Linked DNA regions of Daphnia pulex. The protein of the gene in region 1 interacts with the protein of each later gene in a pairwise test. Links are inferred from orthologs where the notes say so. Each region holds a gene or a part of one and is shown in the gene's direction. Other genes may lie near its edges.

The links. The genes of interacting proteins can lie anywhere in the genome.
Region 2: the proteins of prefoldin subunit 3-like (region 1) and prefoldin subunit 4-like interact in binary tests that used the Homo sapiens proteins (3 or more experiments, as listed by UniProt). The link is inferred for Daphnia pulex from reciprocal best matches to the Homo sapiens genes VBP1 and PFDN4.

Annotation. Positions count from the first base shown.
Region 1 is NC_060028.1:10,584,676-10,588,362, forward strand, and holds prefoldin subunit 3-like, read left to right. Parts: upstream 1-1,483; 5' UTR 1,484-1,553; coding exon 1,554-1,646; intron 1,647-1,720; coding exon 1,721-1,793; intron 1,794-1,861; coding exon 1,862-2,073; intron 2,074-2,132; coding exon 2,133-2,245; intron 2,246-2,315; coding exon 2,316-2,400; 3' UTR 2,401-2,468; downstream 2,469-3,687. Other genes in the region: guanine nucleotide-binding protein subunit beta-like protein 1, read right to left, coding at 239-1,057, 1,120-1,269; c-Myc-binding protein-like, read right to left, coding at 2,563-2,677, 2,745-2,846, 2,916-3,034. UniProt on the Homo sapiens protein: Binds specifically to cytosolic chaperonin (c-CPN) and transfers target proteins to it. Binds to nascent polypeptide chain and promotes folding in an environment in which there are many competing pathways for nonnative proteins.
Region 2 is NC_060022.1:3,651,414-3,654,906, forward strand, and holds prefoldin subunit 4-like, read left to right. Parts: upstream 1-1,790; 5' UTR 1,791-1,904; coding exon 1,905-1,943; intron 1,944-2,025; coding exon 2,026-2,130; intron 2,131-2,295; coding exon 2,296-2,445; intron 2,446-2,496; coding exon 2,497-2,649; downstream 2,650-3,493. UniProt on the Homo sapiens protein: Binds specifically to cytosolic chaperonin (c-CPN) and transfers target proteins to it. Binds to nascent polypeptide chain and promotes folding in an environment in which there are many competing pathways for nonnative proteins.

The DNA of each region.
Region 1 (3,687 bases):
CTCGCTTGATAATTTCCAACCTTTATAAATATATGTGTGTATAAAATTCTTTTCTGATTTCTTCATGTATTTGAGGAGAAACGACGATAGAGAGCAGAGAACAACCCCTCGCTTTTATATATTCCCTTTTTTGAAAAGCTTGCGGCATCAATGCAGAGTCACACAGTTGATTAGAATACAAAGGAAGTGTACGAGGAAGCCAGGAACTTGCCTTTCAAGGGGTTTTGGGGGTTTTGGTTCAAACCGACGTCACTGTTGTTGGCTGGCCTGCCTGGCTGTACAGATCCCAGAGGGATATCAGAGAGTCGCTACCTCCGGCGGCCAACAAGCCGCCGACGCCGCCGCCGCTTTGACCCATGATGAAGACCAGGCTGTTGACAGGGCCGTCGTGAAGTTGAAGGACGCAGAGCTTTTTATGAGTTCGGGCACTGAAGAAGCGAATGCGATGGTCCCAGCCGGCTGTTGCGTAGAGACGCGGGTCGGATAGGCGGAGCGCCATGACGTTCAGTCCGGGATTGGTCAGCACGACAGACTTGAGCTCGGTTAGGTCGTCGACGTTGAAGATGTATAATGTTTCGCATGAAGTTCCTAATAGGAGTTCATTACGCTGAGCATGATGCCCCAAGCAAGTCGGCATGCTCTTGACCCTTGTTCGATGGAGTACAACGTTCTCGTTCCAGATGCAAATGCATCCACTTTCATAGGCGGTTACTACAGTCGTCTGTTTCCCCAACAATTTAATGGCCATTAATGCTCCTTCGTCGTCGTCGATCGTTAGCGTGCCGGTACGGTCCAGCGACGTCGTTTCCTGACTGATGTTGAAGATTTCAACTGAATTCTTCTTGGCAGGGATGGCTATGATGTTGGCCCAAAGGTCACACTTGCAGAATCCTTCATGAGTGACTAGCATCCGATGAACTGAGATTCCTTCTGCATTCCAGATGATGAGAGATTCATTTCTTCCATGTGAAATTATGTAACCAGGTCTGTCATCCAAAGCCCCAATCCACACAATTGTGGCACTGTGAGCTTGCCAGGTCTTGGTTGGTCGATAAACCTGAATTTAAAAGGTGTTTCGTCATTAGACAATCAATTTTAAGCAAATCAATTTAAGCCTACATTTAAATTCCAAATAGTTATGAATCCAATCTCTGATCCACTGACTAGATTGTATTCACCATCCTCTTTTAGTCTTAGTGCAGCTAATGCAGTGACTGGTCCACTTGGATTGTGCAGAATGTGGACTGGATCTGGTGGTGGTTGAGCCATTTTGTCTTTAATAACCAAATTTGTTTAGTTTCCTAATGCTCAGCTATAGTAGATGATAAGAACTGACCTCAAATAAATGTATCCATCGACAATTTCGAATTAAAAAGCTAATTTTGTTTTTGCATGTCTCACGTCAAAAACTTTCAAAAAGTTGTTTTCTTTTTGGTTCTACAGGTTCACCAGCGCCATCTATGGTGAATAATACACAATCCGTACAAAATCGGCTTTTTACATTGCAGACTAAAAAAACCTTTTTCTGTCTTCTAAAAGCAAAATCTCCAAAAATGGCCTCGACCGCAGCATGTGAACCTATCGAAGATAGTCTGAAATTATCCGGAAAAAAGTCTTTTGCTGGCATTCCCGAAGCTACCTTTGTGGTAAATATCGTTTGTGAAAACACCATGTCAAATTTCTTTCCGTTCAGTGCAATATCAGTTTATACCGGTGACAGGAAGATGTAGACGCTTACATGAAGGATCGTGAAGGGGTGGAGTCAATTTTGCGGCAACTAGACGAACAACATGGTATGTTATTTAATTAAGCCATAATGTATCTTTGCCATGCTTGTTAATTTTATCAATCTTTGTTACAGGAAAATATAAATTCATGGAGCTTAACCTTCTGGCACGCAAAAAGAAGTTGAAGAGTCAAATTCCAGACATCCAAAAATCACTTGACATGATTCAAGTGCTGGAAGCAAAAAGGAAAACTAACGAACAAATTGAAACTCACTTTTTACTCTCAGACCTTCTGTACTCTAGGGCAGTTATTGAACCCACAGATAAAGTCTGCTTGTGGCTAGGGGTAAATTATACCATTTAAACTATACAAGATTGCAAACTAATATTCTGTTTATTTTTCAGGCTAATGTGATGTTGGAATACACTTTAGAAGATGCTAAGGCTTTGTTGGAAAAAAATCATGAAACAGCTATGAAGAATCTTGCACAAGTACATCATGATCTGGACTTCCTTAGGTAAGTTTACTCTGTTTGGCTTGGCTTTCCCTAACAGTGTAACTTTAAATGTTTTTTAAAATCTATACAGGGATCAGATGACAACAACTGAAGTGAACATGGCTAGGCTTTACAATTGGGATGTCAAGAGAAGACAAGCCCTGAATGCTAAATAATAATTCTTTACAGCTAGCATGAAAGGAAACTACTGCAATTGTTCACAATAAAAAATTTTGCTTCAGAATCAAGTTTTTTATTTAATAATGAACATGAAATACATAATAAATGAGTTAAATGTCAAGGCACAGAAGGTAGTGATTTGACAGATGGAAGTGGCCTCAATTTATCTGTTCATCATGATCAGGTGTACTTTGTTCAGAAGGTTCCTCCTTACTCAAACTTTCTACAGCCAAGTACTTTTGAAGTTCTGCAGACAGCCTTTGATTCTCCTCCCTAATATAGAAAATGTGTTCGGTATTCTATGGCTGTAATCATTGTGTAATATTAAATAGCGACTCACTTCAACATCTCAGCTTGTCTCCGAGCAAAATGCAATTCATTCCTCATGGACTCCAGTTCAGCCTGATCGGGATGGGCAACACTCAGGTGGGTTTTTAGGTACCTAATTATGTGAGGAAAAATCTGTATTGTAATAAGTGTTATATGTGTAAGTAATCAAATTCATTGTTACATCAATGCATCATTTGGTTTCTCTGGCTCTTCATAGAGTCCAACCAAAACTTTTGTCAGAGCGTCCATGACTCCTGCCTTCTCTAAATAACGACGAAATTCGTCACGTTTGCTTTCCATTTCTTGATCAGTTTGTATTGAAAATCGTAAAACGGTTGTTTAGAAGGTATGATTTAAAACAAAATCAATGAAATTCTTTCGAAGTAGGTACGAAATACCAACACGTCAGTAGTGATTTCAAAGGGAAATCGAAAGAGTTAAAGACACTTTAACCGATAACTTAACGGCTAATTTTAACTGCTGGATCGATTTTGCAAAAAATCGATCATGCTAAAAAAATTGGATTTTTATAAACATTTTGCATCAAATGTACGTATATTGAATTATAACGAATTTCGAGTATTAAAAATTTTACGATCTTGTAAATTTGAATTTATTCATATAAATATCGAATATATAAAATTCGAAAATCCCCCTGGTGGAAGACTGTGTAAGTAAGCTCGATGCGTTACTGCCAGGTGCTAGCTGCCGCAAAAGGCGCAAAACGCTGAAGCAAGCAAGCTAAAGTCAGAGAACGGTAAACACGAAATGAGAACTGCAGTATAGCGCAGCCATATCTGGTAAACAAGCCATACATGTCCCGAATAGACTTCAAACGTTTATAGAAATTCCCAAAGTTTTCATAATATTGGGTGTGGAGCTCAAGGCAAACCACATTTTTTGAGTAAAATTATAAGTCTTGATGTCTTGTAAATAAATACAAAAAAAAAACA
Region 2 (3,493 bases), on another chromosome or scaffold:
TGATCCGATTGAACTGGAATAATATACCAACTCGGGAGGGATTTCGTCAGAGCTCCAGGCCTCGGGATCACTGACCCACGTGAAAGTTGCGCTCTACTTTATTTGAATTTTTTTCTCAAATAGAGTCTAATGTGCTTTCAGACTACGTCAATCAAATTTTTTTTTTTTTTTTTTTAGATTTGGTAGACACTGGCGGGCGCTGGCGGTTATCTGGCTTAAATCGCTGGTTATTAATTAGCAAGCATATACTCTTGTACATTTGCATAATCACAATATCTTCAAGTGTATGTGCGTAATTATATCTTTTCTCTTTTTATTCGGGGATCCTATTAAGTCAGCTTGGAAACTTTAAATCTTCCTCCTGTCAATTCCTTCTTGTCAGACCAGTCTTGTTTTCTCCATTTAGATTTACGCCATAAACAAAAAAAAGGATCTCGCGCGGCTTTCTCCCATTTCACTGCTGGCATATACCAGCCATAAAAAGCCTTTTCTTTATATTTATTCTATTTGAAAAACTTTGATAAAAATAAAGTTATGCATCATTTTCAAAGAGCTTTAAATTACCCAACTTATTACGCATTTGCCAAGTTAAAGTTCATCATTTAAATGAATTCACAGAAAGTAGAAACGTTTTAGAAATGATGTGCGGATCTAATGGCGGCGAAATGAGGTATTAATGTATCAACACGAACCCACAATACGTCCTACTCTTTAACAAGACCATTTATCACGCTTTCTTCTTCTTTGTACGTACTGCGCACTGACGCTAACTAGGTTAAGCAACTCGGTATTCACGGCTGTTTTTACGGATGAGAGGGACGCTCGGGTTGCTTGACCGCATTAAGTAAAGTGCGCTGGTATAACAGGCTACCGCACAACCGAGTGTAAACGACACTTTGATGAGGAAATTACTTGTCAACGCGCAAAACCCACCTCTGCAGCTGTTGTCGATTGTTCGGTGAACATAAAGGTCTATAAAAAAACGACAGAGAAACACGTTGAGATATGTGAATGAAGCGAAACAGGAGGACGGATGCCTTCTGTCTAAAACGTACATTTCAAGTGGCTTTCGTGAATCGTATAGCGTGATGGAATTCGCCAGGAAATATTTAATAATCAAACAGTTGTTGTTCCATAAGTTGATAAAACTCGTCTTCTCAGTTATTGCGGGCTCTGACGCACAAAGGGGAGATTGATATGATTGGTTAAAACATGTGAAACTATTTCGTCTCTATTGCGTTCTGTTTGTTTTGCTATCGATCTGCAGGGCAACTGCATATAATATGGCAAGTTCGCCACAAAGAAAACCGCTTACTTAGACGTGTTCATATTGCTTTTATTGTAAAAAGAAAAGCTCTCAAAAACAAATAGAAGACATCTTCGTTATTTATTACATTTTTTTTTTCAGATTTCCATAATATTACTTTCACGTGCACGACTTTCTTCATGAGCATTGCAACATGTTTTTGCTTGACATCTTTTTCGAAAATCCGAGAACCCATCAGGATTCATTATAATTTTCTAGTAAGTATCGTAATAATAAGATAGAAACCCGAAGAAAATTTCTCTTTAAGCGCGTGAATTTACACAAACACATTTTATGGAGCAAGCTAACAATTATGAAAGCCGTGTAGGCCTTACTTAATAGGGAATATAATAGCCCTTTCACTTTCCCAGTGGTCAATGCACCTGGGATAAAGACGATTTTTCTTGAAGTAATAATGCCGTAGTATTGAAGTAATAAAAACGAAATGTGCCATAAAGAAATTGCTTGTTAAATCCAGTAAAATAAAAATCCTAAAAAGAATAGTAATTTGAATAATGGCAACCAGCATATCATTATCGATTGAAATAATCGATAAATAGGCGTCGTCTGCTACGTAGGGGTTGTCAAGAAAAACATCATGGCCTCAGTAGCAGTTTCTAAAGATTCTCTTGAATCGGTAAGAAAATGATTTGACTTAAGAATTTATAGCTTAACGTGTTGCCAATTTCTAGTAGTTAAAGTAACTGAAATTATTTTAGGACTCTGACATTCACATTACATTGGAAGACCAACAGAAAATCAACCGGTTTGCACGACACAATGCAAAATGGGAGGAGCTCAGGGATGATCTGAAAAATAAAAAGGTGAAATTCTTTCTATTGCATGCTTCTTTTCGTAATGTGTGTGAAGTCTTCAAAATTATTATGTGTCATAAATGTGCTGGCAGAAATATTTTCGCATTCTGCTCATGATTCACGTTGAAACTTACAATTCTGCATTGCTACTCGTTTTCTCTATGCTTTGTTCAGGGAGATCTTCAAAACTTGGAGGATGCTTCAGATGATTTACTCTTGGTTGATGATGAATCAGCTCCAATTCCTTTCGTTGTAGGTGAAGTGTTTGTTCATTTCAACATGGAAGAGGCAAAGGTGATTTTCTTTTTTCCTCTTCTGTCAATTGTGCATCGCTGTTAAAGTACTGCTTATCGCTAATTGTTTGACTTATCACAGGAGAAACTTGAAGAAGCAAAAGACAAAGTGAAAAAAGATATTGAAGCCATCGAAGCTGAATGCACAAACATCAAGACTTTGATGAGCGATCTGAAGACGCAATTGTACGCCAAATTCGGTAATTCTATCAACCTAGAAGCCGAAGAGGAATAAAGAAAACGTCCAAAATGCTTTCTCCACTATAATAATGAAGAACAATACAAAAAAGAAAAAAACAGTCTTTGATAGCACTGACAGAAACAAATTGTCTCTCAAGCCACAAAGAGAAAAGTAAACAACAAAGCTAAAGAAAGTATTTTTAGCTAGTTTCCCTAACACTAAAAATATCTGCGAAGAAAATGTAACGCTTGACTTGCACCTCCGCAACGACGCCTCTGCATCTGGCTACCACTCGGTACCTCTTTAGTTTCGTAGAGGCCATTCACCGGACGGTTTTCCAGCCTTTCTCTCTCAGTCTCGAGCTCCACGACCTCGTAAAATAATCGATTGTTATTGCTTATGTATTCGTCCGTGTTAACCTCATTTGGACACGACCTGCAGAGAGGACTATCGTTGATACTACCCAATAGGTTCAGAAGAATACCAATCGGAAATTGTCACTTGACTGACCCAGTGACTTAGTTTTCTCGGCTGTCCATCACATGGCCGGTTTTTCATCATCCGGATCGTGCACGTTCATAAAGTCCTCCCTTCCCGTTATTGTGCTCATTACATCCGTTCGACGGTGGGTTTGCGAAGCTTGTCACGTCATGACCGTGCCGCCGCTCACTTTTCCCCTGGTCGAGAGGAAAACCCGCATCGTCCCCCCTCCGGCTGCAGATGGTAGACACGAAGTTTTTAAGCAAACAAACAAAAGAAACGAATGAATCTACAGGACAGGACGGAATATTCCTCTGCTTCTAAAAGCAATTGAAGAAAAAAGAATGAGAAGGAAAAACTTGTAACTAGGCCAAGGTTCGTTGGTACACGTTTTTGTTATAAGCTATTTTCAACTTGG